Linked DNA regions of Saccharomyces cerevisiae S288C. The gene in region 4 interacts genetically with the main gene of each other region. Each region holds a gene or a part of one and is shown on either strand. Other genes may lie near its edges. The genes, in order: OMS1, PTC1, ILM1 and MKK1.

Region 1 (9,192 bases), on a different chromosome or scaffold from region 4:
GCCGATTAAACAATCAGGACATTGATAGTCAATAGCACTAGACCAGTCGACATCTGATTCGTTAAAATACGTGATGGTGTTATTTTTAAGTGAGTATCGAATTGTCTGTGCATTGGCATGCGCAAGCATTCGATGAATGAAAGGATAAGGATATTTGCGTGTACTTTCACTTGTATGGACATTATTGATGGTGGGTACGGAGATATTTGATGGAAGCAAGTACTTTTTAGATACCCAGTAAAAGTCTCCATATTTTACGATAGGTGCAAGTACAGTGCCGTCAGACCGTTCTAAGACGTTTTTGGTAAAGCATGCTGTGATATCTACTGCAGCCAATTCATTCAAACTGAGTAAGTCATAGGCTATGTTAGGAGTGTGCAATACCTTTATTGATGTTTTGGTGTTGTCCTGGAAGTGAAATTGTAGGTCACCAATAGCGTTAATTGGTATATTTCTTTTTTGAGCATCAACTACGTTTATGTCAGGATTAGATGATGCTGAGTGTATGTGATGAGCAGATCTTATAAGGGTTCGTGATGCTCCTGAATCGAGAAGGAGGTGTCCAGGGAGTTCATCATCAGAATGATTAGTATGATTTACTGTAGATTCAGTAAGTTTCTGGCCTAAGATGAAGGTCGTGCTTATTGTTCAATTGAATCGGTTCAGTAGTTGATTTACTGATGGAATCGTTGTCCGTGCTGGGAGAGTTATTAGATGTGGATACATTGTGAGCCCTGGCTGTTTTCGATTTCGAATTATTTGTTTTTTGAGGATTCCGAGCTATAACTTTGGGTTTGGTTGTATTCGTATAGCTGCGAGAATCATTCTTCTCATCACTCGGATTTCTCCTGTAATTAGGTTTGCTGTTTCTCGATCCCTGTTGTTCTTCATAAATAGCATGGATATCTAAGAACAGTTCAGCGACTGTCATATTTAGATGTCGATGACGTGTGTAGCGTAAAAATTTATATTCGCCAGATAGACCTCTCATAATTAATTGGCATGCGACCTTGTTATTGATATGAATGCCATTATTGTTCAGTCTGTCGATAATGTTTGTGACTTTTGTTTCAAATGCATCTGCAGGTGTACTGCCATTATATTGCAAATTTGCCAGGGTCACAATGTCGTTTGCCTCTTGGGTATCAGATTGCATTTTTTCAATACTTTTGGAAAGAATTTTCATGATATCCGTATAATCAACGGATAGGATGTCTTTGACCCAGGTAGGTAGGAATTGAGAGGGAGCAAATATTTGAAAAGTGTTATACAAGAAGGTGAGTTCATCATCAGTGATCTGACGTACGGGTTTTCCGTTTACTGTCGGAATAATACCACCGAGATTCGAGTTTTGTAAAAATTTGATGTATGTTTTAACCCAATTTGGAAAGTCATTAGGTGAGGTTAACATTGGTGGTGGTCTGACATATTTTTTAGTGGATGTCATATCAGAGTCCGCTGAGGATGAATCAGTAAATGTATTACCTGACTCAGGTGATGGAGTGCTCAGAGGCGTTCCAACTGATGATGGATACTGCGGAAACTGTGATTGTGGCCCAGGTGGAAAGTACATAGGCGACATTTGATAAGGTGTATACGGAATCATAGATGGGTGTCCGTAAAATGACCAACCAGATGGATTGGCTTGGTTTTGGGTCATCATGCACTGCTGTGGGTACGGCCCATTCTGTGGAGGTGGTACTGAAGCAGGTTGAGGAGAGGCATGATGGGGGTTCTCTGGAACAGCTGATGAAGCAGGTGTTGTTGTCTGTTGAGAGTTAGCCTTAGTGGAAGCCTTATCATATTCTTGAATTTTGGAAGCTGAAACGTCTAACGGATCTTGATTTGTGTGGACTTCCTTAGAAGTAACCGAAGCACAGGCGCTACCATGAGATATATGTGGGTAATTAGATAATTGTTGGGATTCCATTGTTGATAAAGGCTATAATATTAGGTATACAGAATATACTAGAAGTTCTCCTCGAGGATATAGGAATCCTCAAAATGGAATCTATATTTCTACATACTAATATTACGATTATTCCTCATTCCGTTTTATATGTTTATATTCATTGATCCTATTACATTATCAATCCTTGCGTTTCAGCTTCCTCTAACATCGATGACAGCTTCTCATAACTTATGTCATCATCTTAACACCGTATATGATAATATATTGATAATATAACTATTAGTTGATAGACGATAGTGGATTTTTATTCCAACAAGATTTACCAATCTCATTTTTTGGGGATTCTTTTATCCTCAAAAAAAACTTCATGAATATTCTGTGTACCTAATTATGGATTTATCACCAATGCAATCCCAACACTTATTCACAAGAGTTACCTATCTTAATTAAATGCATTGAAATAGAAGAAAAAGTTTAATTTAAATCCGATTTGAGCGATTTGATCACAACGATCTGTTTCATTTTTCACCTTCTTATGAATACTGAAAACCGCAACGCAATAAAAATAAAAGATTGCATATATAAAAGACAGACCACCCATGAAGTTCCGTCTTATGTTAGCGGACTTAGCTCAGTTGGGAGAGCGCCAGACTGAAGAAAAAACTTTGGTCAAGATATCTGGAGGTCCTGTGTTCGATCCACAGAGTTCGCATTTTTATTTTTTCCCAGTGACGCAATTTTTGGATTGTTAATAATAGCGTCGTTACGTCACATATGGTCAGTATGATCACTTTAGAAGTAAGGAGAACTACCTAAGGGGTTTTAGATCACATTTTAACTTGCTTACTGAAATATTTACACGATTCTAAGCCTGTATAAAATTCATTGGTATGAATAAATATGTTAACTTTTACTTACAGGAGGTACTGGCTCAAGTTCTTTTTTAGATGCCATATCGTCTTTTTTTTCGAATGATTCCATTCTCTTTCTAATACTTGATTGCAAGTATTTTTCTACAAACCCAAGCTCGTCTTTCTTTTTCACATCACCTTTTCTCTTTGCAACGATACACCAAGTAGTGCCTAAGTGAGTCCGTTTTTCTTCCACCAATTCTAGGTCAGAATCATCTAACACTTCGCCTAAGTCGAGATTCCATCGACAGCCCCAAGTATTCAGTCTTCTTTCAGCTCTGTTGTCTAATATCTTATTTATAAAATCGTATTGACCTCTACCATGTTCCAGTAAAATAATTCTTCCATCTGGCTTTAATAACTTGCCAAAATTATTAAGTGCCTTAACCGGATCTTCATGGGAACACAAACCAAACGCCTCCACGATAGTATCATATTTTACTTGGTTTTCCTTTTCATTCTCTAGAGAGGGCTTACCTTTCTCTGCTAAGTCTACTAGATTTTCCGCCTTTCCAACAACAAATGCAACTTTTTTATACTTAGGAAACTTTTCTCGGAATTTTTTATGTGTAATTTCCATCATATTTTCAGAAGAGTCTAAGAATGTTATAGAGTTGATGCGTGACATATCAAGGTACTTGATATTTCTTCCTGTACCGCATGAAACTTCCAAAACATCCCCTTGACAATGTTTCATTAACCATTTCCTTCTTTTACCGAGAAATATTACTCTCTCTTCCATATTAATTGCCTTATCATATTCGTTAGCTTTTTCTTGGTAAAAGTTTGTTGTGTCTCTTGCTGGCAATATTTGTTCATTCAATTTGTTTTGATCAAAATTCTGTACCCGAATATCATCGAAGTTTTCAATGCCTTCTTCTTGCATTTTTTTGTATTCTTCTAATTTCAATTCATCTCTCCTCCTTAGTTTTCCTTTCAATTCTTTAATCCTTAATGCTTCGTATTCATTGGCATTCCCTTCTTCTTGTTTCTTCAACAATCTTTCCAGTTCTTTGTCTTTCGCAAACAGTTTTTTGGTAAAGAAGAGACCATAGATTAAAAATATCACATAAGCACCGATCATGTACTTGGTCATTCCCTTTGAAAACTTTTCTGATCTCGCAATAGCTCCCCACCTCACAAATCTATTAGGTGACCTCAGTTGTTCTTCGAACCTCTCTTTGGCCAATTCTTCTTTTGTTTTTTGCTTACGAATGACTCTATTGCTATTCATTTGGAAAACATTTTTAAGCTTTTTTTTACTTTTATCATCATCAATGTGGCTGCTGTTATATTTATAAGATGTAAAAGATAATGATCGCCTTTGTGATTCCAACAAAAGACTCCTGGATGCCGGTTGTCGAATGTGATGTAAAAGGCACGTAGGAAAGCGACGAAATACGATCATCCTCACTTACTTATGGTTTTCTTGTTCGTTCCTCAGTGGTTTATTTATCGAAGATATTTTCACAAGGTACTTTTTTGATGCGGTCCCATTTAGGGTTTCCAAAATTAATTCGAACCGTGATATGCTACCAGTCGAAAATTGTCAGAGATAAGTTCCTTTTTTGAAAAGAAAGATCGATGCAAGTCATCGGACGTGGTGGGGCAAATATACTGATTGATTATGGGGATCCTACGTGGTTGTGGCGATGCTGCATCCGTTGGCCCGATCTGTTATCATCAAATAATTCTTATACAATCAAAAACATCAGTTATATTAAAGATTATGTAGAACCTCTTCTACATGGCTTGCTTTGCCCGATGTATCTGATTGACGTCGATATAGAAGCTATAAGGCCAATTCTCAGTGACTTTATTCTAAATTTAGACGATAAGGTAGTCAAAGTTATCAAAATTAAAAATCTCACCAATAATACCTCAAATCTGATATTAAATAACCACTTTTTAAAATCTTATTGTTCACAAAATCTGCAAACAGTTATTTTAGAATTGAAGCCTAAATGGTTATACTATGATACAGATTACTGTAGGAACTGTACTCATAATGCATTTAAGGGTAGAGGCACTAAGTACTGTTACAATCAATTACTAATGAATCCAGCACACTTGGAATTAATATTTGGAGAATGTAATATATTTCCGGTTAAGTTTAAAGATGCCATGCATGAGTACTTGCGCAATGACAATAACATTTTCAAGATCCTTTATGATTTACAGAAAAAACTTACAAAGAACACAACTCCAATAAGTGACATAAAATCAATCAACGATGTAAACGATGAGCATCTGCTACTCATGACACTCAGAGACGTGACATGTTTCATTGAATGGAACAGTGCTGAAAATGCGTTGCACGTGAATATAATAGATGTAGATCTAAAGCCAAAAGAAAAATGGACCCATTGGACAAAAACTTACAGCCAGTTGACATCAAGCCAAAAAATTTATCATACTTCAAATAAATAAACTGTATACTTTTCTTTCCACCTTTGGTACTGGCAGATGCACATACATTACCATTTGTAAAATATATGGATAGATAAGTATTTTTTTTTTCTAGTGGCCCTCTGGAAAATGTAAATAATAAAACGGAAAACACACAAGCCAGGGTGAATGACCAAATTCGATATTCAACGAAGGGTCAAACCTTGAAACCTAGCATACATGAGTTTAAGGAATAGTGAGAAGAAAAGTAATGGCCAAGAGACTGTTAGAATCAAGCCAAAATGATCAGGCCAATCGAAAAAACTCAAAGATTGAGAAGAAAGAAGTATCGTTTTATGAGGAGGAAGAAACAGATGATTCTTTTGATAGTTTTTACCAGGATGAAGAAGATGATTTAAGTGATATTGATTGGGAAGAAGTTTCTTTAGATGGAAGCTTAACTGTCACATTTGGCAATATACGCAGAGACAGGGAGAAAGTCAGCAAGTACAAAAGAAAGCATAATAAAAAAGCATTCAATTATCAGCGACTTAAATATGGACTCCATTTGATAATGATTCCATTTATGTTATTTTTGTTAAAATCTAGGATGAAATGGATAGACGATGAAAGACTAAATAGGCGACTAAGAAGGTCTGTACCAAAATTAATTGGCAAAAAATTCAAAGATTGGGATGTAAGGGATCCAGCTTTTAAAATGGATTCTTTAAGAACCCTTTTGCTTGGTTTGGTCTTATGGTTCCGTTCCAATTACAAAATGAATAGCAATGGCATTAGACAGAATTTCAACAGGCTGCAATACCTTATCAAGTATGCCGATAACCAAAACGAAAATTCAATCTCTGAATCTACATATAAAAAAGTTCTTGAAAATCAACAAGAATTTTATGGAAATAGGCCGTTGATAAATCATGGTGTTGAAGATATTCGCAAGATGGCTAAAAGGAAAATGGCCAACAGAGATATTCTAACGTTGTTCTTCTTTATTATCTTAGAAAATGTGCTACCGGGGCCTAAGAAGCTTTACTTATGCTTTGCCTTGCCCTTGCACGATTACGATATTAGGTGCAATAAGGTGAAGTGGCAAATCGAACATGGTATTGGCAAAGTTCCCAACAGATTTGACTCTGACCTAATACAACCTTATTTTTGGATTGAATTAGAAGTTCCTACTTTGAGCGATGGTGAATTATACATCATTGACCCTATAGCCCATCTGGGTGAACGTGAAATGGTCTTGAAAACACGCGAAGATCAGTTTGTCCCTACTTATCAACCTTCGGTAGACATGAAGTACAACCTAAACCAAAAGTTTCATTATGTAGTCCGTATCAATCATGCTGAAAAGGTACTACAAGATGTTTCACCAAGATATGTGCCAAATGTTTGTTACAGGTACTTTGAATTATCTGAGTCTTCTCCTATTTTGAAATCGAAGCATTACACTAGCTACCAATATCTATCTAAGTGGTTGAAAGTCTTGAACAAGAAAAAAGCATCTGTTCATCATTACGCAATAATGAAAAAGATTGCTTTAACTAATTTTACATTACCAAAGAGTGTGACAGAGATTAAAAGAACAGATAATTTCGTGATTCCCTCTCTGTTAAAGTCTAATGAAGTATTAAAAGCATGTGCAAAACAAGCCGCAACATTTACTAAGGGAGACAATTCACAAGAGCCCATATTTTGGAGAAGAGACGTCATTCAATTAAAGAGTAAACAGCACTGGGCAATATTAGGGCGTTCCATTCTACCTAATGCTCAACCATTAAAACGTAAAAAGTATCTACCGATGAGGGAAAGGATGGTAAGAAACCTAGACAAGTACGTTATCAAAGAATTGTTTTCGTATGAGCAAACAATGAAGTCTCCTAAATACCCCAGCACGTATTGCGATCATTTAGGACAGGAACATGTGATAACAGATTTGTCGCATTATAAAAATAAATTTGGCAACATCGAAATTTACTCGAAAGAAACTAAGCCTGATGGATTTGAATTAATACCGCTTAGCAAAGAAGTTGATATTAAATGCCTGATAAAGGAGTATAACAAAGGTAAAAGAAAGATGCAAAAAATCAAGTATTTGGATGTGGTAAGTGGATTTGATTTTAAACAGAAAAAAGGCCATGCCATTCCGAAAATTGAAAGCATTCTAGTCAAAGAGACAGACTATAAAGCAGTCCAGCTTTTGAAGCAGCAAACTAAAGTACTACTGGGACTCTCGTTCTGGGACATTCTATTAAGAAAGCTACGAGTTAACGATCGATTAAATGCTGAGTACGGTAATGTTGGAAATAATGAAGAAACGTTGGACGACCATTGACTACATCGTATTTCACCTTTTCTAAAGTAAAATGGATTCGACGCTGTTTCGCAGAGGGTATAAATGTTTGCACGATCGATAGAGCGTATGGAAGCCTGTGCATAATCATATCTCTGGAGAAGGAAATCTTCGATAAGGGCCAGTGAAATAGCGGAGTATCATGGAATCCGGGTAATGGGCATCGAAGCAGCTCACCGAAGAGAAGAATAGAAAAGAAAAAGTAGAACTATTCTCGGGATTTATAGTAAACAGGGGACGGACGATTAAGAAATAACCTGATCAAACACTGTACACTACTGCTGTTTTTTTTTTTTTTTTTCTGCTAGAAAAGAACATATGAAGAACTAAAGCGCATGGTTATTAAAGAGGACTGTATCAATAATCTTGCCAGGTGGCAGGCAGACGAGGAAGCTCACAGCTGTTTTCAATGCAAGACGAACTTTTCGTTTCTCGTAAGAAGACACCATTGTAGGTGTTGTGGAAGGATATTTTGTTCGTCTTGTACCGAAAATTTTGTTAATTATAATAAAAAGAGAGTCCATGCCTTGCAGAAAAAAAATAGCGACGTGGAATCGCCTCCATATAGAACTTGTAATGAGTGCTACGATAACCTCCTTCATTTAAATCTACTAGTATCCTCCACCAACAGAGATGTACGACTATCGCAAACTTCGGTACCACCAAATGCACTTGCACTTTCTGCACCAGATAGCAACACTGATGAAGACGCGGAAATCCTGGAAGATTCGGTAGATCAATCCGGTACGGCATGCAGGAGCGAAGAAAGTTCACAAAACGAGGAGGATCACTTCTGCCCTATTTGTAACTCAGATCTCACACAGTTTCCTGATGAAGAAGAGACCAGAAAGCACGTAGAGGATTGCATACAGAGAGCTGAAAATGCCCAACAACATACGAATACGTCAGATGCAGCAGATGACTCCGTAAAAGAAAGCCCTGCCTTTCAAAATAGAATGTTAGTGTACAAGATATCGCCTAATACAACAGATAATGCAATTAAGGAGTGCCCGATTTGTTTTGAGAATATGGAACCCGGTGAGAAAGTTGGGAGACTAGAATGCTTGTGTGTTTTCCATTATAAGTGTATTAAGAACTGGTTTCACAAAAGGGCGCAAATGACTGCAGCCCAGAAGGGAAATGGACATGCTTTTGTTAAAAGGAACTTTTGTCCTTTCCATGATGCCGTATTTTAACGATAACTCCCAATTTGCTTTTCATTACAAAGTTTAATTTTTCAGCTGTTAATAATCGAAGTTTTAACTTCCCTTTTCTTTTATTTTTTTCTTTAATTGTAAAAGATTTCTATATATTTGTTTAATTATGATCTTATATATTCATTAATATTTACTTTGAGGTGTTCCCTCACCTATGAATAAACAGACACTTCCTGGTTCTTTAAGTCCATCGGAGTCATGGCTACTATATGGATAGTGATGTTACGTACGGAGGATATATATACATATCGTGCATTATTCTACTTCACTGAATAAGTCACTATCCAAATCCTCTGGTACATCACTATAATGCTCATCTTCACTCGATGAAGATCCATCATCGCTCATTGCACCATCTTTCCCTTGACCTTCACCCTGTTCTTCTGCTCTAGCTTT
Region 2 (8,513 bases), on a different chromosome or scaffold from region 4:
TAACAATACCACCAACAACGACAGCAATAACAAGAACAATTCTATCACTACCGGAAATGATAATGAAAATATAGTTAATAATGATTTACCAACGACCGTTGTTTCCAATCCTGGAGATAACCCTCCTCCAGCCGACAACGGTGAAGAATACTTGACATTAAATGATTTCAACGACCTTAATATTGACTGGTCGACCACTGGAGATAATGGCGAATTAGACCTCAGCGGCTTCAATATATAGCTTGGTCTTCCTATTGTTAACTATTGACTTGTAAACCGTGTTGTGCATTCGCTACGTGAATTTAATTGGTATATATATGATAGAATATGTTCTCCAGTTTAAAAATCTGGAATCCTATTCTACTAAAACCTCATTCGTCATGTGAGAGATGCATGCAAAATAGATTTGGTACGTTTATACATATACATACATACACACATACACATTGCATATCTCTATGTCTATGCATAATTTTTGCGCGGTTTATAACGGATCCTTCTTAGAGGAAGACAACCATGACCGTTACATTATCTGTTGTGCCATTTTCCAAAGCATATCTAACCAAGACTTTTGCAGCTTCATTAGGTTCAGTAATATCCTTGATTAATTCGCATGCATCTTGATCATCAATAACATCCCATAATCCATCACACGCTAGGATTAAAAATTTGTCCTCAGAAGTTATTTCTACGCTCGTGGTAAATGGGCTGCCCACTACTAAACTATCAAAAAATTTATCCCCTAACGATCTCGTCACTGCCAGCATACCATTTACACGACTTTTCATTATCAGGCCACCTGCTTGTTCAACTCTCTGCATCTCCAAAGTGTCAGATGCCTTATGATCATAAGTCAGTCTTATGCTGTTCCCGTTTCTAAACAATACTATTCGAGAATCACCAACATTTGCTGTATATAACTTTCTTTGGTGTTGGGCTAAATCCATTGAATCATCAGAAACTGAATCCGGAAGCTCCCAACGTAATACGCAAACAGCAGCAGTACATCCACTATTTCCTACAAGTTTTGTATTAATTTCTTCGTCAATGGCTAGGAATGAATCGTTCAATACATCTCTAACATCTCGTGTTTCATCTGCCAAAATGTTTTGCTCTATAATTGTATGAAGATGTTTACCACACCATTTGGAGGCCTGAATCCCAGCATGTCCATCAAACACCGCGAAATATCCCCAATCTAATCTTGAAGCAAAGTTTTTAACATACGTATGAACATCTTCCATTGTCCTCCGAAATTTCGAGTTTTTATTTTCCGCCACACCTACTCTATAAGTTATGTCATATGGTGTTTCTGGCCTTTCTAAGATTTCAGAATGATTACTCATTATAATGATTTTTAAAAGATAAATGCAGTGCCTAAATGATATATGAAGTAAGAATGTGCAAAATCTCGTATACTCGGTATAGAATGGAATTTAACTCACCTCCTAATTGATAATACTGCCTATTTATTTTCTTTTCAACGACAACAAAAATAAGCGTTCACTTACTTAAACTATCAAAACTTGTTGTGTTTGGGGTCTGTTAATGTAAAGGAATCCGGATAAAAATTTTGAGACAACTTTGAGAGCTGTTTAAGACGAAAAAAAGTGACCTCAAACACACGAATAATAATGTTTAACTAAGCTTTCAATTTGCAAAGGTATACTTTGTCTTTTGAGTTTTAGTTTCCTATAAAATTAGGACAACAAACCCTCTCAGATGTGTTCACCAGTTTTCCTTTGCAGTTAGAATTCGCGAAGGCCCCGACGCCCTACCTATATTAAGTTTTTGAAACAAATATTGCACGTGATACAAAATGTACACATATTAAGCTTTGTTGAAGCATTACTTATATACGTAAATCTATTATAGAAAAATGTAAATGGGCACATCACAAGTATAAACCTTCTAAATTTTCCTCAACTTTATTTTTCATGACTCTCTCCTTGGCTTGTTTAAAATCCTCCGCTGTAACTTGCATTCTTCTCTCTCTAAGGGCTAACAAACCTGCTTCTGTACACATTGCCTGGATATCGGCGCCTGACAAATCATCCTTTGTTGTTACTAAAGTTTCAAGATTAACGTCCTCACTTAAATTCATCTTGGAAGTGTGAATCCCTAAAATTTTTTTCTTAGTACTTAGATCAGGGTTTTCAAATAAGATTTTACGATCAATTCTCCCAGGCCTGATTAATGCTGGGTCAAGAGTCTCGATTTTGTTAGTGGCCATAATCACCTTCACATCCCCTCTGTCGTCGAACCCGTCCAGCTGGTTCAGCAATTCCAGCATGGTTCTCTGAATTTCTCTCTCACCACCACTATTGGAGTCATATCTTTTAGTACCAATGGCGTCTATTTCATCAATAAATACAATACTTGGTGCATTCTCACCCGCTACTTTGAAAATTTGCCTACACAACCTAGGACCATCCCCCAAATATTTTTGAATTAACTCTGAGCCAACAATCCTTAAGAATGTGGCAGATGTTTGATTTGCAACAGCCTTTGCTAGCAATGTCTTACCTGTACCGGGTGCACCATAAAGAATCACACCCTTGGGAGGTTTGATACCCATCTCTTCATACAGTTCGGGGTGTGTTAACGGTAACTCTACAGACTCTTTTATTTCTTGAATTTGAGATTCTAAGCCACCAATATCACTGTATGATTCTGTTGGCGACTTATCCATTTTCATGACCGAAACCATTGGATCGGCGTCATCCTGTAAAACACCTACGATGGACATGGTTTTATGATGCAATAACACAGAACATCCAGGCTCTAGTAACTCTTTATCGACAAAGGATAAGATAGATACATAATAATCAGGCATAGTTGGACTTGTCACTATCGCATGATCATCGTCTATAATTTCTTCAAGGGTCCCAATGCTCAATGGATTTCCACGTATTTCTTCCAATTGTTTCTTTTCCTCCTCCTGCTTCTTTTCAAAGGGTTTTAAAATTTCAGAGTTAGAGACAAATTCTTCTTCTAATAACAAATGGTCTTTAATTCGTTCCATCCTTAGAAGCTTTAACTTACAACGAGTACTTGGATATATGTTGGGTAATTTTTCAGCAGTAGCTGGACCTCCCTTTCTTTTCTTACGACCAAATTTAGATTGAACGGGAGGTTCATATTTGGGTTTCTGATTAGATCCCTTCTTCTTCTTTTTGTCTTGTCCAGATGATACACCTTGTCCCATTTTATTTTCTATTAAAAACGCTGTCTCTTCTTTAACTTGAATTGACTGTAAGCTTGACACTGATACGCATCATATTCACTAATATTCACATTAACCTTCTTTTAGGTAAAAGAAAAGAGACATTTGCCACCGGAGAAAAACCGTTAATAACTCGTTACCCGGAGTGATAAAAATATTGGGAATATAAAAATGACGACAACTGCAGGACTCGAACCTGCGCGGGCAAAGCCCAAAAGATTTCTAATCTTTCGCCTTAACCACTCGGCCAAGTTGCCTTACTAATGATGAATTATTGACTTAAGATATATCCCAAACCTAGGAATATGTAAACCTGCTGGAATATTATTTGTTAGAATAAAAATCAACTATTCTCTCTCAACTAGTAGTCTTACTACGAGTATATTATAATGTACAATGTTAGATGATGACATAAGGTATGAGAAACTGTCATAGAAGTTAGAGGAAGCTGTATTCTGTATACATAATATTATTGCCTTTATTAACAATGGAATTCCAACAATTATCACTTGTTGATAGTTAGAGGTAAAAAATAGTATTAATGAAGAAATAAGTATTGATCTTCTTATACTAAATAAGAGAGGTATATAAAACACACGCCGATTGGTCATATTAATCATGACCAATATAATAGTGATTCCGGTAGTTACTATACATTGATGTGACGACTCATATTCCTCATATATGTACCTACCATATCATGTTCAATTAATAGATCTTTAGCACAGCTTCAGTATTGTCTGAGCTTCTCGTTTAACATTCCTTCTGCAATAGGTGCAATCACACTTAAACGTATACGAGGTGTACATTAATATACGGTGTAAGCATTAGATTGTTACCATAGCAACTCATGTCACTATTAATTACTCTCGTTCCAACATCACTAAATTCCCGTAATTACCACCGCAAAAGAAAAAAGAATACAAGAAATGGAAAACTAGCGCATAATTTTGTTTCTTTCTTTTTCAAAGTTGCAGCCGCTACTATTGATTCGTTTGAAAATAGCACTTGGCGGCTAAACTACCGGCATAGAAAGTGGATCGGGCAAAATTAAAAGGGAAAGAGCGACGGGGTTACGGGACCATTACATAAAAAAAGTATCACAAAATCTATTGTATGCAAAGATATAAACCATCACATTATTGAAATAATATCGTTCTTGATACTTCCATAATCCAAGAAAAATATTTCAAGCACTTTCTTGATGTTCCTTCCTATAATTTTTCACACCATCCTAACCCTCCTGAACTTTGGTAAATATTACTGTTTACCTATTCAAGAAGACGATGATAAATCAGGAAAAGAAATTGAACAAATTTTAGACAATAACATCGAGTCATTAGGACTACTACTAAATTCGATGTCCTTATCCTCGAACTTTACGACAGGCGATCCTGAACTAGATTCGCTCTTCCAAGATGATTTAATCCCCGAGTTATATAGTGTATTAGATGGCTTCTAACACCAAGTATGTGTATTCTAAGGGTATACAAAATAAATACTGCGATACTATTCAATTCTTCAACAGCAGCTTACTAGATGTAAAATTAGTTACTTCAATTTATACTGTCACTTTTGCATATTTTCAATAGAATAAAATTACCGACGTCTGCCTATTTCTTCCATTGATGGATATATTTCTTTCTCTATCTCATTGCTTGTTACAACACCAAAAGTTTTGCTAAGAATGTGTATAGGAAACAAAAGCCAGAAGTCATTTCGTTCCAAGCCTTTAAGCGCCTAATAGTGAACTTTGCACCGCATACGTTAGCTTATGGTATGTGTGGTAATGTGTGAATTGTTTGTGATATGTAAAAAAAAAAAAAAAAAGGCCACGCTCAAGCACACAATGAAATAAAATTTAAATTTCGGGGCCATTCTACCGTTGGTTTTGCTATCTGCCGGAAAGAGGAAGTCCACAAGTGCCAAAAACTGTCAGTTACATTTTAAAAATAATCGAAATTTATTTTCTTTTGCTATCTCGGTTAAATATTGATGTGTGATTTGGCATAGTTGGCCATTGTCTTATGATTTCTGATTCTACGACGTTCCAATTTTTTATAATCAGTTCAATAATAATAATACATCGATCGGTCGGTCATATTCTTTTCTTTCTTTTTCTGTCAAGGCGTTACTGACGCGACACACAAGCGGCAGGTATAGTGACGTTTTCCGTTGAATGAAGTAATTCTAATGAACCTACGGTTCTCAATAGCATTGGCAGAGGCAGCTGATAAATGTACAGTAGTTTTTACCAGGAAATCCAGCGAGTATTACACATCCGTAGACGCGCTATGTTTTTCCTCAGGTTATCTTTCAGTAATGCTTGAGATCTCTAAAGGAAGTATACACAGTAATAGTGTGACCCAAAAGTTGTTAAAATTTCCGGAGGTAGCCATTATATACCAATTTTTGTATAAATTTACAGGATTAGAAGGTACCTAAAAAACTATAACATGTCAAGAAAGGCCTCTGAGAAGTGAAACAATACTTCCAAGCACAAATATATATTAATAGAATAATGACTGCTTGGTAGTTGAGAGATTACATGTATTGCATAGTGACTGAAAAAATTTAGTATAATTGCTATGTTGCTAGCACAGTGTTAGAATAGGGGCAGATCATTTGTATCATATAATGGGGTATGGAGAACAGGTACCAATTGGGCATATTGAATATTTCGAATATGATGTTATCTCCAAGAATGTACATCATGTCCATTGTGACATTTCATGGTTTTATATATGGGGTTTCTGCATTTTTCAACAAACATCTCTTTTATAAGCTTTGCGCTAGTTATGGTATTTATTTTTCAAATTAATAACTTACAAATAAACAAAACTTTCTCAACTAAATATTTATTTCTTCCCTGTAGACTGTAAAAATTTCGGAAGCAAAAATAAACCTCCCTGAATGTTAAAGGTGATTATTAGGTGAATAATTTGATAATTGTTGCAATTCCACTGTTTGTAAATTCTATAGTATTATGTATACAGAATACAGCTTCCTTTAACTTCGACGACAATTTCTCATAACCTTATGTCATCATCTAATACCGTACATGATAACACACTATAAGAATTGAGAAACAGTCATCAGATGAGATGGAAGCTGCAAATGCAAGCATTGAAAATATAATAAATAACGAATGATAACAAAAAATGTGGGGAAGAAAAAACAACATTACCATGTATGATTCTTGCTTCCCTCTTGTAGTATCCTCTATCTTGTAAGAGACGTTGTGATATACTGAATACCCAGTAATATTCCCGCTATCTAGAATGAAAATTGTTGGAATTGAACTCTAATATCATCTATTTAATATTATATTATCACATGCGGTGTAAGAAGATGACATAAAGATTGAGAAACAGTCATCCGATCTAATGGAAGCTGAAATGCAAGGATTGATAATGTAATAGGATAATGAATGACAACGCATAAAAGGAAAGAAGATAAAATAATAACATTATGTAGAACTATCGATTCCCTTTTGTGGATTCCTATATCCTCGAGGAGAACTTCTAGTATATTCTGTATACCAATATTATAGCCTTTAGCAACAATGGAATCCCAACAATTATCTAACAACTCACATATTTCTCAAAAATAACACAATTTTATGAAAGTTCACATAATTGAGTTAGAGCTTGAAATACTCTAACTTACAATCAAATGAACACAAATCAGAAGCTTCTATGGCCAAGTTGGTAAGGCGCCACACTAGTAATGTGGAGATCATCGGTTCAAATCCGATTGGAAGCATATTTTTATGTATTCTAAGTATGCAACGATACCGCTGTCATCGTTAGCATGATTAGTACACTGTTGTTCTTTTTCAATCTAACAACCTTAACTTCAGTTCCGGCTACAGTACATCTATTCAACGATTGGAAAAGAAAATTTTTTTATCTTTAGCTGCAACAAGAAAAAATCAATATTAAATTTTCATTTAAGTATACAGAATGTTAACAGCGTTCACAAGAAAAGAACCGTATGGAAATATAGCTAATTGTGATTTCTAAGTTTCTTTTTTATCGTAACAAAAAGTCTTCGTCCAGGATGGTATCAACTTGCTGTCTACCGATTGGGTTATCGGTGTTTTGCCTTATTGGTTCATCAAAGTCCACAAACTCTTCTGCGACGCCCTCCTCTATCATTTCTTCTCTTCTTCTTGAAACTATTTCAACGAACTTTTGGACATGAGCGTCATTAATTGCTAGACCCTTCTGTAGCTGGAAAGTTTGCCTACACATCGGACACAGTCCTTTTGAGGTTGGTGTATCAAGCCAACGGTATATACAATGATCATGGAAGTTATGATGACATAGCCCAATCACTAAAGGGCATTGATCGCCTGGAAATTTACAGCTTGGACAGGTACCGTTATAACTGGCACGACAGATACCACAGACATCCTCGTCTTCATCATTGCCAATTGGATCGTTATTGGCTGCGTCCTCATCAGATGTGCTAGGGATGTGCCATGACCAAGCAAACACACTGTGCACTTCGTTTATTTTAACTTTCATATTTTTATAATCTGTATTGCCACTTTGCTTGTTAAACTCTCCCGATATTGTACAAAGTTTTTGAAGAATGCATTATTTTTTTATCTGCAGACACGGAAGATACAAAAGTTATCTCGGCAGCTTACCCTTTATATCGAATGCAGGCGTAGACAAAAGTGCGTTGCATAACTTACCAAGGTGAAGTGCATGGACCAGCAAAGGATAGAAGTTATTGTAAACATCGAAACCATAAACTTATATATGTATATATGAAGGCATTAAGCGTTTTATGTTTTCACAACCCTTTTAAGAGATGTCTTGGACAAAAAAGCTTCTTCGTTGGTGATAGCTTCTTTATTCCAACTCCGAAACGCCTTGTGCTAGGAAAACTACGCCTTTCCAACTACACTGCATTTCACGACCTAATCATTCACGACCTCTTTATTTATATATTTATTCTTAATTTTTTCTTCTTTCCTTTTTGTAACAATTTCAATTATTGGAAGGTTTTTCACGTTGCTCAACCGAGAATTTACCATCACTCCAGACTTGTAATGATTCTAAAAGTTTCCCTTGAGTGTGCAGTTTCTTGATTTCTTCATTACCTCCTCTTGATACTCCATTAACCAAAAGGTTTGGAACAGTTCCTCTACCGGTCACCAACTTGATATATTCTTGCAGCTCTTCCCCATGTCCATGTTTGTCAAGTTCTATAATATAGTAGTTTGGGATAAACTGATACTCATTTTCAAGCAGTTCCTTCATGCCCTTGCTAT
Region 3 (4,189 bases), on a different chromosome or scaffold from region 4:
CGGGTGGCATATGGGCGGCTAATTGCGTATAAGATGATAACATCCCAGCGCATCACGTGAAAGGAAATACATATATATGTGGCTTTATTACTGGTTTAGAGTATTTTTGTACTGTGACTACTACTGTATTTCATGTAGCAGAATACACAGCCTTTTACTTCTGTTCTTTCTCAAAGGTTCAAGAAATAGAATAGCCAAGTGCCATCAAGAACTCGAACTAACTTTCGTAGAAGGAGTAGTATACAGTCTTGCTTGTCACAACTCTTTCAGGAGCTTTCTTTTTAGTATTATACACGATCCGTATGCTCATCTCGTGATATAGAAGTAACGCATTGAATGCAAAGAAAGGCAGATATTTTACCCTAGGTGTAACCAGAAGAGATTAGGAGGGCTTAGGGCCAGTATTTTATCTGATGTAGGGCAAACGAGTAAAATGTGTAGGGTATGGGCTAATATCAAGGGCTTCGGACTTACTGCCCCGCTCACAGAAACAGCCGCACTAATTAATTTCTTTTGTGTAACGTTAAAGTAACCCTGGAATCATCATTGAAAAATTATCATCCCAAGAGACAGAGATGTGCATGTTGACAACGCAGGCTCAATGTAGAATAAGATCTGACTACTTAGTCAATTTTACCTCTAGATCATATTAACTAATCTCATCTTGCACAAAAAACGTATCACTATCATGGAGGAAATTCCTGCCCTGTATCCAACGGAACAAGAATTCAAAAATCCGATCGATTATCTCTCTAACCCCCACATTAAAAGGCTTGGTGTACGATATGGTATGGTCAAGGTCGTACCACCAAACGGGTTCTGCCCGCCACTTTCTATTGATATGGAAAATTTTACTTTTCAACCAAGAATTCAAAATCTGGAGAACCTAGACCTGAAAAATAGGTGTAGGCTATTTTTTATGAAACAGTTAAATAATTTTAAAAGATCCGTTAAGGATCCATCGAAACTTATACTTAGGGAACCTTATACGATTGTAGAATATTCAGATTCTACTCATGCATCGGAAATACTAAAAAAAAAAGTGTACTTTTATGACGTTTTCTCTGAACTAATAAAAGACAATCGGACACTTACTGACACTACACAGTCATTCAGGCGAAAATTGAAATTTAGAGATATTTCCCAATTAAGAGGCGACATCAGTCTATGGAGGACCATTTCTAAAAAATTCAACGTACCAATCGGCTTGTTAAAGGAAATTTTTGAGAAATATATTGCCTCATACTACATATTTCTTCATTCACTGAACGAGAACGTGCACACGGCGCTGCATGCTGACCAGTATCCAAAATCCTTATTAAGTGATGACGAGGACGATTTCGATCTTGGGCCAGATTCGAATTCTGGGTCGGATTTTGAGGAGGACGATGATGATGCTTGTATTGTTTGTCGCAAGACAAATGATCCAAAAAGAACAATTTTATGTGATTCATGTGACAAACCATTCCATATATATTGTTTATCACCACCTTTGGAACGTGTTCCCTCTGGCGATTGGATTTGTAACACTTGTATCGTCGGAAACGGATATTACGGATTCACTCAGGACACGCATGACTATTCTCTACCAGAGTTTCAAGAATATTGTAAACGTCAAAATTCAAGGTTATTACCAGCACGAAAACTGTCTATAGATGAGTTGGAAGAGATGTTTTGGAGCTTAGTGACCAAGAATCGTCGCAGTTCATTAACGACAGTTAAATACGGTGCTGACATACATAACGAATTGCCAGGTCAAATTACCGGCTTTCCGACGAGAGAATTTATACCCAAAAATATAAATGGGGACGAATTGATAGACTACCTCAAATATTGCGATCATCCTATGAATTTAACTAACTTGCCTATGGCTCATAATTCGCTATTACCGTTATTTAAAAGAAATATTTCTGGCATGACTATTCCTTGGATTTACATAGGCTCCTTATTTTCCACATTTTGTTGGCATATGGAAGATCAGTATACCCTAAGTGCTAACTATCAACATGAAGGTGACCCTAAGGTCTGGTACAGCATTCCCGAATCGGGATGTACGAAATTCAACGATCTATTAAATGATATGTCACCAGACTTATTTATCAAACAACCAGACCTACTGCATCAGCTAGTGACTTTAATATCTCCGTACGATCCAAATTTCAAGAAATCAGGTATTCCTGTGTACAAAGCTGTGCAAAAGCCCAACGAATATATTATCACGTTTCCTAAATGTTACCATGCTGGTTTTAATACAGGTTATAATTTTAATGAAGCTGTCAATTTTACTATAGATTTCTGGCTACCATATGGATTTGGTGCGATTACGGATTATAAATTAACTCAGAAAGCATGTGTTTTTGATATGTTTGATTTAATGATCAATGTTTTGGACAAGTACAATAAAGATACTCTATTGTTCAATGATGCTTTTGTTAGGCAATGTTACTCTTCATTGATCGTCTTTTATAATACTGAATTAAAACGCATACGGAAAATTCAGGCCATTGTACCACGGACAACTCTTTTGGAGGTGCATACTGATCCAAACGATGAAGATGAGGAATACGATATATTTTGTTCCCAATGTAAGACTATATGTTCAATAGCCTTTGTATTGCGAAAGAATAACTATGATTCAATTAGAACGTATAAAAGACACAAGAAAAACCATTTAAGTATTAGGCAGTGGAATGAACTATCCACGACGGACAGTAAAGTGAGTATCCTGTGTACGCAGGATTACTTAAAATCAATACAAAACTTGAACAATAGCGACGGTGAAGAACCTTATATTGACGATGAATTGTATTTCACTAAGTCTTTGAAGGATATTGACTCTTTAATAAAGCAAGTTGGTGTTAAGTTAGATAGATAGTCTTCAATATTTGTGTATGGCGTAATGATTTTTTAGAATAATACTTGGCATTTAGCACGCCACTTTTAGCGCGAAAACACCAAAAAAGTAAAGAAAATAATGTCGATCAATCTTTAAAGAGAGACAATTGAATGGTAGTGTAACAATTTACAACATAATAGAGTATCGCATTCAGCAAAAGTAAAGAATAAATTCTAAGAAAATGGCTCAAGCCTTGAACTCCACCAATATTGCTTTTTTCAGAGTAGCATTTTTATTCACGATCGCCTTCTTTTGTTTAAAGAACGTTAATTCTATTTTGCAAAATACATATTTCATAGTCTTAACGCAAGCGATGAATTTACCGCAGTTAACACTGTCACGTTATAGTGGTCAATTGGGTCTTTTCGCTCTTCTGTTTACTCTTAACGGTGTTCATGATCTAATTCCCCTGTTAGAAAACAATGTTAAATACTTCCAATCTGTTGTGCCAGTTAGATTACTAATTTTTTTTATTTTGACAAGTATCTCGTACCTTTGGGAGTCAAACTTTTACGTTCACAATAACTCTGTTTTTATTTACTGTTTTGCAGAAGTTTGGATAAATTTTCTTTTGTATAATGCCATTAGGGAGGAGAAAAATGAAGAGTTCAAAAGATTGAACCAATTCATGGTTAATGATGAGGATATTGAAGAACCCCAACCATTTACCGTGAAGACTGAAACCACAGAAATCATTGAAATAATCAATGATGAAGAAAATGACGATGAAGATGGGAAAGATAATGATGATAACAATGAGAAAGGTAATGATGATAGCGATGCAAAAAAATAAAATGTTTAATCGTTTATTTTTTCTTTCCTTTATTCTTATAGTAGATACCTGTGTATGTATGTAGATATAGACATAACGAAGCTGAATTTAACGGTACATGCTAATATGTGTACTCTATAGATTAGTTTTTCTTCTTTTCACTAACATAGTCTAGAGCGGTCAATCTTTCAGCTAGAGTTGGATGGGAATAATGATAGCTAGAATACAGAGGATCTACATTCATGGTGGAAAGGTTTTTGATTTGTAGATCAATTAGAGCCCTACATAGATTTTGCTTGTAGCCCAATTTTTTAGCATAAGCATCAGCTTGATATTCATGAGTTCTGGAAATTAAACTCATCACGAATTGCATGGCACATTCGAGTGGAGTTAATAAGTCGTTAAATAACATAAATCCAATGATAATGGGGAATTCCTTAGTGATAACGGGATCAACAAAACTGCCAGTGGACTTCTCTAAGAAAAAGCCGAAGGTGTTGTAAAATGATGTATTTCTGTAG
Region 4 (8,978 bases):
ATATTTTGAGAAAATGGAAAAGGTACATCATAATGTTCAAAATACAATTGATTCTATGTTTGAGAAAAGAAAATCCGGCGAACTGCCACTGCAGGAAAAGGAAAACCTACTAAGGTTATTGCTTCTTGAGAAAAATTTATCAAATATTCTTGATATTTTTGCTTCTATGCCCAATATAGCAGATGTCGTACCATTTTCAAAAGCCGATAATAGTTTCCCTAATATTGGGGATAGCACGGTTAGCGCAAACTATAATGATGGTATTCGTCCATCTCTAAAACACTTAGATTCTGACAGGTTAATCAACGATGTTTCAATTCCTGAAAACGATTCATCAATTAGACCACACTTAATGGCCACCGACTCGGGACGAATCATCGATGTGACCACTGGTAAAGCTCTTCTTTTCAAGAGTTCGTCTAATACCTCACTGGCCGGCAAGAGACAGGAAGAAGAGGAAGGTGAATTACATAAATGGGGTGTGTTTGTACAGCACCAAAGCTCAAGACATAACTCTGGGCTTCCTTCATCCGCCAATTCTTCGAGAATTAGCGGGTCGTTAACACCAGATAGCAGTGTCGCCGGAGGAAAGAAAGGGGAATCCTCTCGCACATCTGGTACAAGGCCAAAAATCTTACCAAAGATTCCTACCGGTGCCGAATTAAGGGATGCCATTATTAAAGCTAAGGGTATTGATTCTGTAGATGATCTGATTAAAAATGTTACCTCTGAAAAGGTTGGATTGGAATCATTATATGGAGATGAATTGAACTCTAGAAGCCCGAGTAATGACAGTTTACAAGAATCACAACAAAAGGCGCCTTTGCAGAGGCCCCTTGTTGAAGATGAAACAGTGACAAAAAAATATGACAAACTATTGAACGATCTGTCTAATGTTCGTCACAGTAAAACCTAAATTATTTTATGCTTCTGTCTTTCCTTTCTCTTTCGATTATTAGAAGGTGCATCTTTGTATAAATATCCCATCAATAATGTATTCTTAGGAATCTATATATGTATGTACGTTTTATGTGTATATGTATTTTACGTTTTTTCATAATCATATACTTTCTGCCGAAATTTTTTGCCTTCATTATGCACACTAATGTTATTAATCAGATAAAAATACAGAAATTTAAAATAAATACTGAGAATAATATAATTAACTGTTCGAGAATTGTCGCAAATTAATAGCTTCACACTACTCCCACAAGGATTCCTAATTCACGTGCAACAGCAACCGGATCTTTTTGAAAATGCTTTCGAATTGGTTGGGACCCAGTTTCGTAGAATCCTCTTTCATCAATCTAATCAGAGAAACGAACCCAACGAGTGTTAATAGATTGATAGCTGTGGACCATTTTTTCCTGCTAGTCATTTTTCTAACACCGAAATAACGGCAGAGCCCCGAACCTATATGATATACACCTGACTCGAGGAGAATAGCTAACGGCACCAGGCCTCCAAGCCATTTCCACCACCTGTTCTTGCTAGATAGTAATTGCTTTATAGAGGCGAAATCCACCTCAGTAGAGATGGAATTCGGCACCCATTTCATAATTAATAAGTGGTATATCAGGACGGGAACAAGGATGTATCCACTAATCACTTGTGGAGGAATGCGGAAGGTCTTATACAATCCAAATAAATAGCCAGAAATTCCACCAGTTAAACCAATCGAATCTTGGGATAGATCTTGTTCGGCCGATATCTTTAAATGTCGATGTCTATTTCTTCTTGGCTTGTTCCAGTTGTTCACGATTCGGAGCAAGACACCAGCAGAAACATGAAGAGTAATACCCGCAACTAACAGCTTGGTAGTTATGGACGGTAAAATCTCTCTCACCATCATTAAAACGTCGTCAGGAGCAGAATCAGGTGATACTGCCGGCGTGATTAATGTATTTGCTGCATGTAGTGGGAAATACAATGCCATGGGCAGTACCGAAATCTTTTGACAGTTCCAAAGGAATCTCCGACATGAACTCCTGGAAAAAGGATACGGAATGCCAAATATTTTTTTCCTCTTATCAGGATTACCATCTCCTTCGGGGCTATGTGCATTAACATCATGAGGGAGACTAGCAGGGTCTACTGGTTCTGGAGGCACTTCATGCAACTTTATCATCGTAATAAACAAAACTCTGGGCTAACTGGTATATGCCCTAGTAATTCGGGACCTGTTAGGAGCAATACAATCTACACAAGGTTTTCCTTACTTATTTTCCAATTGACGACCAACTTGCCTCACACAATTACAGAGCACGTATTCGCTCTCTAGCCACTCTTTTCAAAACAAATTTTAGTTGTGGACCTGGTTAGGATACAATCAGCGATGTCGGAAGACTGATGTAGTAGAATTGACTGGAACGCTTCTTCTATAGTCTACACGGAAGCTATACTCCCTTGAATAGATGGTAGATGTTCCGCATAAGGTTTGTCCTTTTGGTTTTTTAGCCCCGTTCGGGGTTCGAACTGCTAAGTCATATTCCGCACATATGCGTCCGCAGACTCTCATTGGATCATTCTTACCCATTCGGGTCATAATGCAAGCCTTTACCATTTATGGCACTTTGATTTCCCTTTCCATCTCACATCTTCAATTCTATTGTTTTTGAAAAAAAAAAAAAATAAAAAAAAAAAAGATTAAAGGCAATTAGTTAGCTGACGTATGGAACATCTCTGCTGTACAGCTACATTTACTTATAAGACAAGGAGCAATTAGTAGCGACGGGAGCAAGAACTAAAAAGGATAGAGGATGGCGAAAAGCAAATCCAGTCAGGGTGCGAGTGGAGCACGCCGTAAACCGGCACCTTCTTTATACCAACACATTTCTAGCTTTAAACCACAATTCAGCACAAGAGTCGACGATGTTTTACATTTTAGCAAGACACTGACATGGAGAAGTGAGATTATTCCAGACAAATCCAAGGGCACCTTGACGACTAGTCTTTTATATTCTCAAGGTAGTGATATTTACGAAATAGACACTACTTTACCATTAAAGACATTCTATGACGACGACGACGACGACGACAACGACGACGACGACGAAGAAGGTAACGGCAAGACGAAGTCTGCAGCCACCCCAAATCCAGAGTATGGTGATGCTTTCCAAGATGTTGAGGGGAAACCATTGCGCCCAAAGTGGATTTACCAGGGCGAAACAGTGGCAAAAATGCAATACTTGGAAAGCTCAGACGACAGTACGGCGATCGCGATGTCCAAGAACGGCTCTTTGGCATGGTTCAGAGATGAGATCAAGGTTCCCGTTCATATCGTACAGGAAATGATGGGCCCTGCTACTAGATACTCTAGTATTCACTCTCTAACCAGACCAGGTTCATTAGCAGTGTCAGATTTTGATGTGTCGACAAATATGGATACGGTAGTAAAGTCACAAAGTAACGGCTACGAGGAGGACAGCATCTTGAAAATCATCGACAACTCCGATAGACCGGGAGATATATTACGTACAGTGCACGTTCCAGGGACCAACGTGGCTCACTCAGTTAGATTTTTTAACAACCATTTATTTGCATCTTGTTCAGATGACAACATTTTAAGATTCTGGGACACAAGAACAGCGGACAAACCGCTTTGGACGCTAAGCGAACCGAAAAATGGACGACTAACGTCCTTCGATTCCTCTCAAGTTACTGAAAACCTATTTGTCACTGGGTTCAGCACGGGTGTCATCAAGCTATGGGATGCGCGTGCTGTGCAACTGGCTACTACTGACCTCACACATAGGCAGAACGGCGAGGAACCGATCCAAAACGAAATAGCCAAGTTGTTCCATTCTGGCGGCGATTCCGTTGTCGATATCCTGTTCTCACAAACCTCTGCAACAGAATTTGTTACGGTTGGAGGAACGGGTAATGTCTACCACTGGGACATGGAGTACTCTTTTTCAAGAAACGACGATGACAACGAAGACGAAGTTCGAGTGGCTGCTCCGGAGGAACTTCAGGGTCAATGTTTAAAATTTTTCCACACAGGTGGCACAAGAAGATCGAGCAACCAATTCGGGAAGAGGAACACTGTGGCGCTACACCCCGTAATCAATGATTTTGTTGGCACTGTTGATTCAGATAGTCTTGTTACTGCCTACAAACCATTTCTGGCCAGTGACTTCATTGGCAGAGGTTACGACGATTAAAAAAAAAAAAGAGTAAGAAATTAACGTTACCACCTATGGGAAAGGCAGTAACTCACAAGCATTCACGTACATAATTCTGTTTTTTTTTTTTTTATTCATTTCTAGCACGCTATCGGGGTTATTTTTTTTTTTGTAATATATAGTGATGGTATAATGTTGTATAGATACTGGTATCGCTCCTAATAAAGACTCTTTCAGATTTCTGAAGCCAACGAAGTAAGGCCTCAAGAAAAGAGGGTTACCAGTAATTAACCAAGCAATTTCTTTTTTTTCTTTCCAGCAAAGAAATAAGACAAAAACCGGCTATATGGAGAAGAGGGAGGATCTAATGGTGACATAGTCCATTTCAAGATTCCCTCTTTCGTTTCTCGGATGAAGCTCGATGTTTACAATTCAGAATCTTAAAAGGCTGTCGCTAAGAAAGACCCAGAGGCACATGCAAGATAGTTGTGCCTGTACCACGTGAGAAGGCGGTATTCAATATGCGGTGCTGTGCTGGCTTCCCTTTTTGGAACGCGCCGGGGTATAACAAAGAAAGGCTAAGTCATACAATAGGCAAAAGACCTTTGTCTTTCCTTTTTTTCCTCTTTCCTAACATACGGTGGTTTATGTACTATCCCTTATGTAATTGCTTAGCTATACACAGTGAGCACACATAGTGGCGCTCACTACTCCCTTTTAATTTCAACTCGTAGATAGTTGGGCTATTTTCCTTCGAATCCTCGTTTATCATCTCATATTTAAGAGTACCATTTCGGGGCTTTTTTTTACCTTTTCCTTTTCCATGCAGTCTGTCCCCTTAATGTTCTATGTTTTTTTTTTTTTTTTTTCAGTTCTGTAGCTTCCAGTATAAAGGGAGGGAAAAAAGAAGATCCGAAAAGTTTATATTCGCCTGAATTGTAGATATTAGATAAGAAAATTAATTATTAATCAACCAATCTTGAAAGATACAAATAAATTGTAACACACTATACATTACAACCAAAAATGCCAAAAAAGGTTTGGAAATCATCTACGCCTTCCACTTATGAACATATCTCCAGCTTAAGACCAAAATTTGTGTCTCGTGTGGACAATGTTCTGCACCAAAGGAAGTCCTTGACGTTCAGCAACGTTGTTGTTCCAGATAAAAAAAATAACACTCTAACCTCAAGTGTTATATACTCTCAAGGTAGTGATATCTACGAAATTGACTTCGCTGTACCACTACAAGAAGCCGCTTCAGAACCGGTGAAAGACTATGGTGACGCCTTTGAAGGTATTGAAAACACCTCGTTGAGCCCAAAATTCGTGTACCAGGGTGAAACTGTCTCCAAAATGGCCTACTTAGATAAGACTGGAGAAACTACATTATTGTCGATGTCTAAGAACGGGTCGTTGGCTTGGTTCAAAGAGGGTATAAAGGTCCCTATTCACATTGTACAGGAATTGATGGGTCCAGCAACCAGCTATGCCAGCATCCATTCTTTAACCAGACCTGGTGATCTACCTGAAAAGGATTTCTCATTAGCCATCTCTGACTTCGGCATTTCCAATGATACCGAAACCATTGTGAAGTCTCAGAGTAATGGTGATGAAGAAGACAGTATTTTGAAAATCATTGACAATGCCGGTAAGCCTGGTGAGATTCTACGTACTGTTCATGTGCCTGGTACCACTGTGACTCACACCGTAAGATTTTTCGACAATCATATCTTTGCGTCTTGTTCAGATGACAATATTCTGAGGTTCTGGGACACTAGAACTTCCGACAAGCCTATATGGGTGTTGGGAGAACCAAAGAACGGAAAATTGACCTCGTTTGATTGCTCTCAGGTTTCCAACAACTTGTTTGTTACCGGTTTCAGTACGGGTATTATCAAGTTATGGGATGCCAGAGCGGCTGAAGCTGCCACCACTGATTTGACTTATAGACAAAACGGTGAAGATCCAATTCAGAATGAAATCGCTAACTTCTATCATGCCGGCGGTGATTCTGTTGTCGACGTCCAATTTTCTGCCACTTCAAGCTCTGAATTCTTTACTGTGGGCGGCACTGGTAATATTTACCACTGGAACACTGACTATTCCTTGTCAAAGTACAATCCTGACGATACCATTGCTCCTCCTCAAGATGCCACTGAAGAATCACAAACAAAATCTCTGAGATTCTTGCACAAGGGTGGAAGCAGAAGATCTCCAAAACAGATTGGAAGAAGAAACACCGCCGCTTGGCATCCAGTTATTGAAAACTTGGTTGGTACTGTCGATGACGATAGTTTAGTCAGCATCTACAAGCCCTATACCGAGGAAAGCGAATAGTCGCCATGCTAAACGCGCGGAACAAGGCCATATTTATATATTTAATGCTTTTAACTATTATTAGTTTTTCTCACCCAGGGCTGGTTTCTTTACCCTGTGTGATGAAAGTGCGCGCCTAAAGTTATGTATGAGCTACTGTTAGTATATTTATTATTCAATATTTAATTAAACAATACTTACTACTGATGAAAGATACCGTACACCTGCTGGCGAATAAGTCACTATACACGAGCAATTATATTTCTCAGGTCATTGCGACAATTGAAAAATCGGATCGACTGATTATCATTAAGGCGTGTGACGGCTCAGAATAAGGAAGTTCTATTTTAAAGGGCAGCAAAAATTTGGCACAATTTAAAAAGAAAGTTGGTCTCTGGTAGGGTTGGATCCGGTTTTTCATAACTTGCGTTTCATTTATGGTTGCGTATTTCTCGCAGTGTACATAGACCAAATTAACTCTATCCTTCCATTGCACAATTTGCCCAGTATGGCTTCACTGTTCAGACCCCCAGAATCTGCGAAATGCAACCCAAACTCTCCTAGACTTAAACTGCCCCTCTTACGAAATAATCAGGTAGATGAAAATAATATATACTTGACGTCGAATGGGAGTTCCACCACAGCTTACAGTAGCCACACCCCAGAACCACTGACCTCTTCCACATCGACACTTTTCTCCCAAACTCGACTTCATCCTAGCGACTCTTCAATGACTTTAAATACAATGAAGAAGAGGCCTGCACCGCCATCTTTACCTTCGCTCAGCATAAATTCACAGTCTAAGTGCAAAACACTACCCGAACTCGTACCCATCGCCGATGTGTCTGATGGTAAACATGATTTAGGATTGAAACAGCGTGTGATAGCCGAAAATGAGTTGTCTGGTAATAGTGACTTAACCCCTTCATCGATGGCAAGCCCCTTTTCACATACAAACACCTCTTCTCCCTACCTCAGAAATGATCTGAGCAATTCAGTGGGATCTGACTTTTCAAATTTGATATCGGCATATGAACAAAGTTCAAGTCCCATCAAGTCATCGTCCCAGCCTAAATCATCTTCTGAATCGTACATAGACTTAAACAGTGTACGAGATGTTGATCAATTGGATGAAAATGGTTGGAAATATGCAAATTTAAAAGATAGGATCGAGACATTAGGCATTCTAGGAGAAGGAGCCGGTGGCTCTGTTTCCAAGTGTAAATTGAAAAATGGATCAAAAATATTCGCTTTAAAAGTGATAAACACATTAAATACAGATCCCGAGTATCAGAAGCAAATATTCAGAGAATTACAGTTTAATAGGAGTTTCCAATCCGAATATATCGTACGATATTATGGAATGTTTACGGATGACGAAAACTCTTCAATTTATATTGCTATGGAGTACATGGGTGGGCGATCGTTGGATGCTATTTATAAAAATTTGTTAGAGCGTGGTGGTAGGATCAGTGAAAAAGTCCTGGGGAAGATTGCAGAAGCGGTACTAAGAGGACTATCATATTTGCATGAAAAAAAAGTTATTCATAGAGATATTAAGCCCCAGAATATTTTACTGAATGAAAATGGTCAGGTGAAACTTTGTGATTTTGGGGTCAGTGGAGAAGCCGTTAACTCGCTAGCCACAACATTCACGGGGACGTCATTCTATATGGCTCCAGAAAGGATTCAAGGTCAACCATACAGTGTCACATCTGATGTATGGTCACTTGGATTAACGATTTTGGAAGTGGCGAACGGGAAATTTCCATGCTCTTCCGAGAAGATGGCAGCCAATATAGCTCCCTTTGAATTGTTAATGTGGATTTTAACATTTACTCCTGAATTAAAGGATGAACCCGAATCTAATATCATATGGAGTCCATCATTCAAATCCTTTATCGACTACTGTCTGAAAAAAGATAGTCGTGAACGGCCATCTCCAAGACAAATGATCAATCATCCTTGGATAAAGGGTCAAATGAAAAAAAATGTCAATATGGAAAAATTCGTGAGGAAGTGCTGGAAAGATTAATCAATAAGCAATTTTTTGCGAACATGATTAAGTTTATTTTACTTTATTTCGCATTTTCCATAAAAAAATTTTCCTCCATACAAGATTCATACCCAGGATAGCCTAACTAAAATGTATGGCTTTATACAGCTTGACGACAAACTTAATTTGAATATATAGATATATTAATTTAATCAGCAGGATTAGCATTTAATGTCTTACATGTCTTTGTATTTGGCATACGTATTCAGTGATATTTTAATACCTCGCAACGCAATTTCCAGCGAGTTTACGTTTGAAGCAAACGTAACTCCCATGAGTTATACATAACGCCTGCTGCAGCTGAACCAGAACAATATACCGTGGTATTACCGTAAGCATTTGAAAACAATAATAAGTTTCCAAGTGCCGCTTTAGATCCAAAGTACAAGGACATATTGTGGAAGAGTAAGTTGAATATTTGAAAATGAGAGCTTTTTCAGCAGCCACCGTTAGGGCCACAACTAGGAAGTCGTTCATCC

The links.
Region 1: mutations in MKK1 (region 4) and OMS1 together harm fitness more than expected from each alone (negative genetic interaction), as found in Saccharomyces cerevisiae (3 studies listed by BioGRID).
Region 2: mutations in MKK1 (region 4) and PTC1 together harm fitness less than expected from each alone (positive genetic interaction), as found in Saccharomyces cerevisiae (6 studies listed by BioGRID, with this or other methods).
Region 3: mutations in MKK1 (region 4) and ILM1 together harm fitness more than expected from each alone (negative genetic interaction), as found in Saccharomyces cerevisiae (3 studies listed by BioGRID).

Annotation. Positions count from the first base shown.
Region 1 is NC_001136.10:1,088,802-1,097,993, reverse strand, and holds OMS1 (putative RNA methyltransferase), read right to left. Parts: upstream 4,232-9,192; coding exon 2,816-4,231; downstream 1-2,815. Other genes in the region: YDR316W-A (gag protein), read right to left, coding at 608-1,930; IPK1 (inositol pentakisphosphate 2-kinase), read left to right, coding at 4,408-5,253; RAD34 (Rad34p), read left to right, coding at 5,483-7,561; PIB1 (phosphatidylinositol-3-phosphate-binding ubiquitin-protein ligase), read left to right, coding at 7,915-8,775; SSF2 (rRNA-binding ribosome biosynthesis protein), read right to left, coding at 9,052-9,192. UniProt on the Saccharomyces cerevisiae protein: Mitochondrial methyltransferase which suppresses respiratory defects caused by OXA1 mutations when overexpressed.
Region 2 is NC_001136.10:432,742-441,254, reverse strand, and holds PTC1 (type 2C protein phosphatase PTC1), read right to left. Parts: upstream 1,347-8,513; coding exon 501-1,346; downstream 1-500. Other genes in the region: MED2 (Med2p), read left to right, coding at 1-241; proteasome regulatory particle base subunit RPT2, read right to left, coding at 1,895-3,208; YDL007C-A (uncharacterized protein), read left to right, coding at 4,431-4,688; APC11 (anaphase promoting complex subunit 11), read right to left, coding at 7,261-7,758; YDL009C (uncharacterized protein), read left to right, coding at 8,007-8,330; glutathione-disulfide reductase GRX6, read right to left, coding at 8,230-8,513. UniProt on the Saccharomyces cerevisiae protein: Serine and threonine phosphatase. Involved in tRNA splicing and cell separation.
Region 3 is NC_001142.9:642,990-647,178, reverse strand, and holds ILM1 (Ilm1p), read left to right. Parts: upstream 1-3,077; coding exon 3,078-3,689; downstream 3,690-4,189. Other genes in the region: DMO1 (Dmo1p), read right to left, coding at 1-53; JHD2 (histone demethylase), read left to right, coding at 689-2,875; STE24 (zinc metalloprotease), read right to left, coding at 3,811-4,189.
Region 4 is NC_001147.6:765,650-774,627, forward strand, and holds MKK1 (mitogen-activated protein kinase kinase MKK1), read left to right. Parts: upstream 1-6,951; coding exon 6,952-8,478; downstream 8,479-8,978. Other genes in the region: HER1 (Her1p), read left to right, coding at 1-916; MCP1 (Mcp1p), read right to left, coding at 1,220-2,128; WTM2 (transcriptional modulator), read left to right, coding at 2,760-4,163; WTM1 (transcriptional modulator), read left to right, coding at 5,151-6,464; mitochondrial nucleotide exchange factor MGE1, read left to right, coding at 8,924-8,978. UniProt on the Saccharomyces cerevisiae protein: Involved in a signal transduction pathway that play a role in yeast cell morphogenesis and cell growth.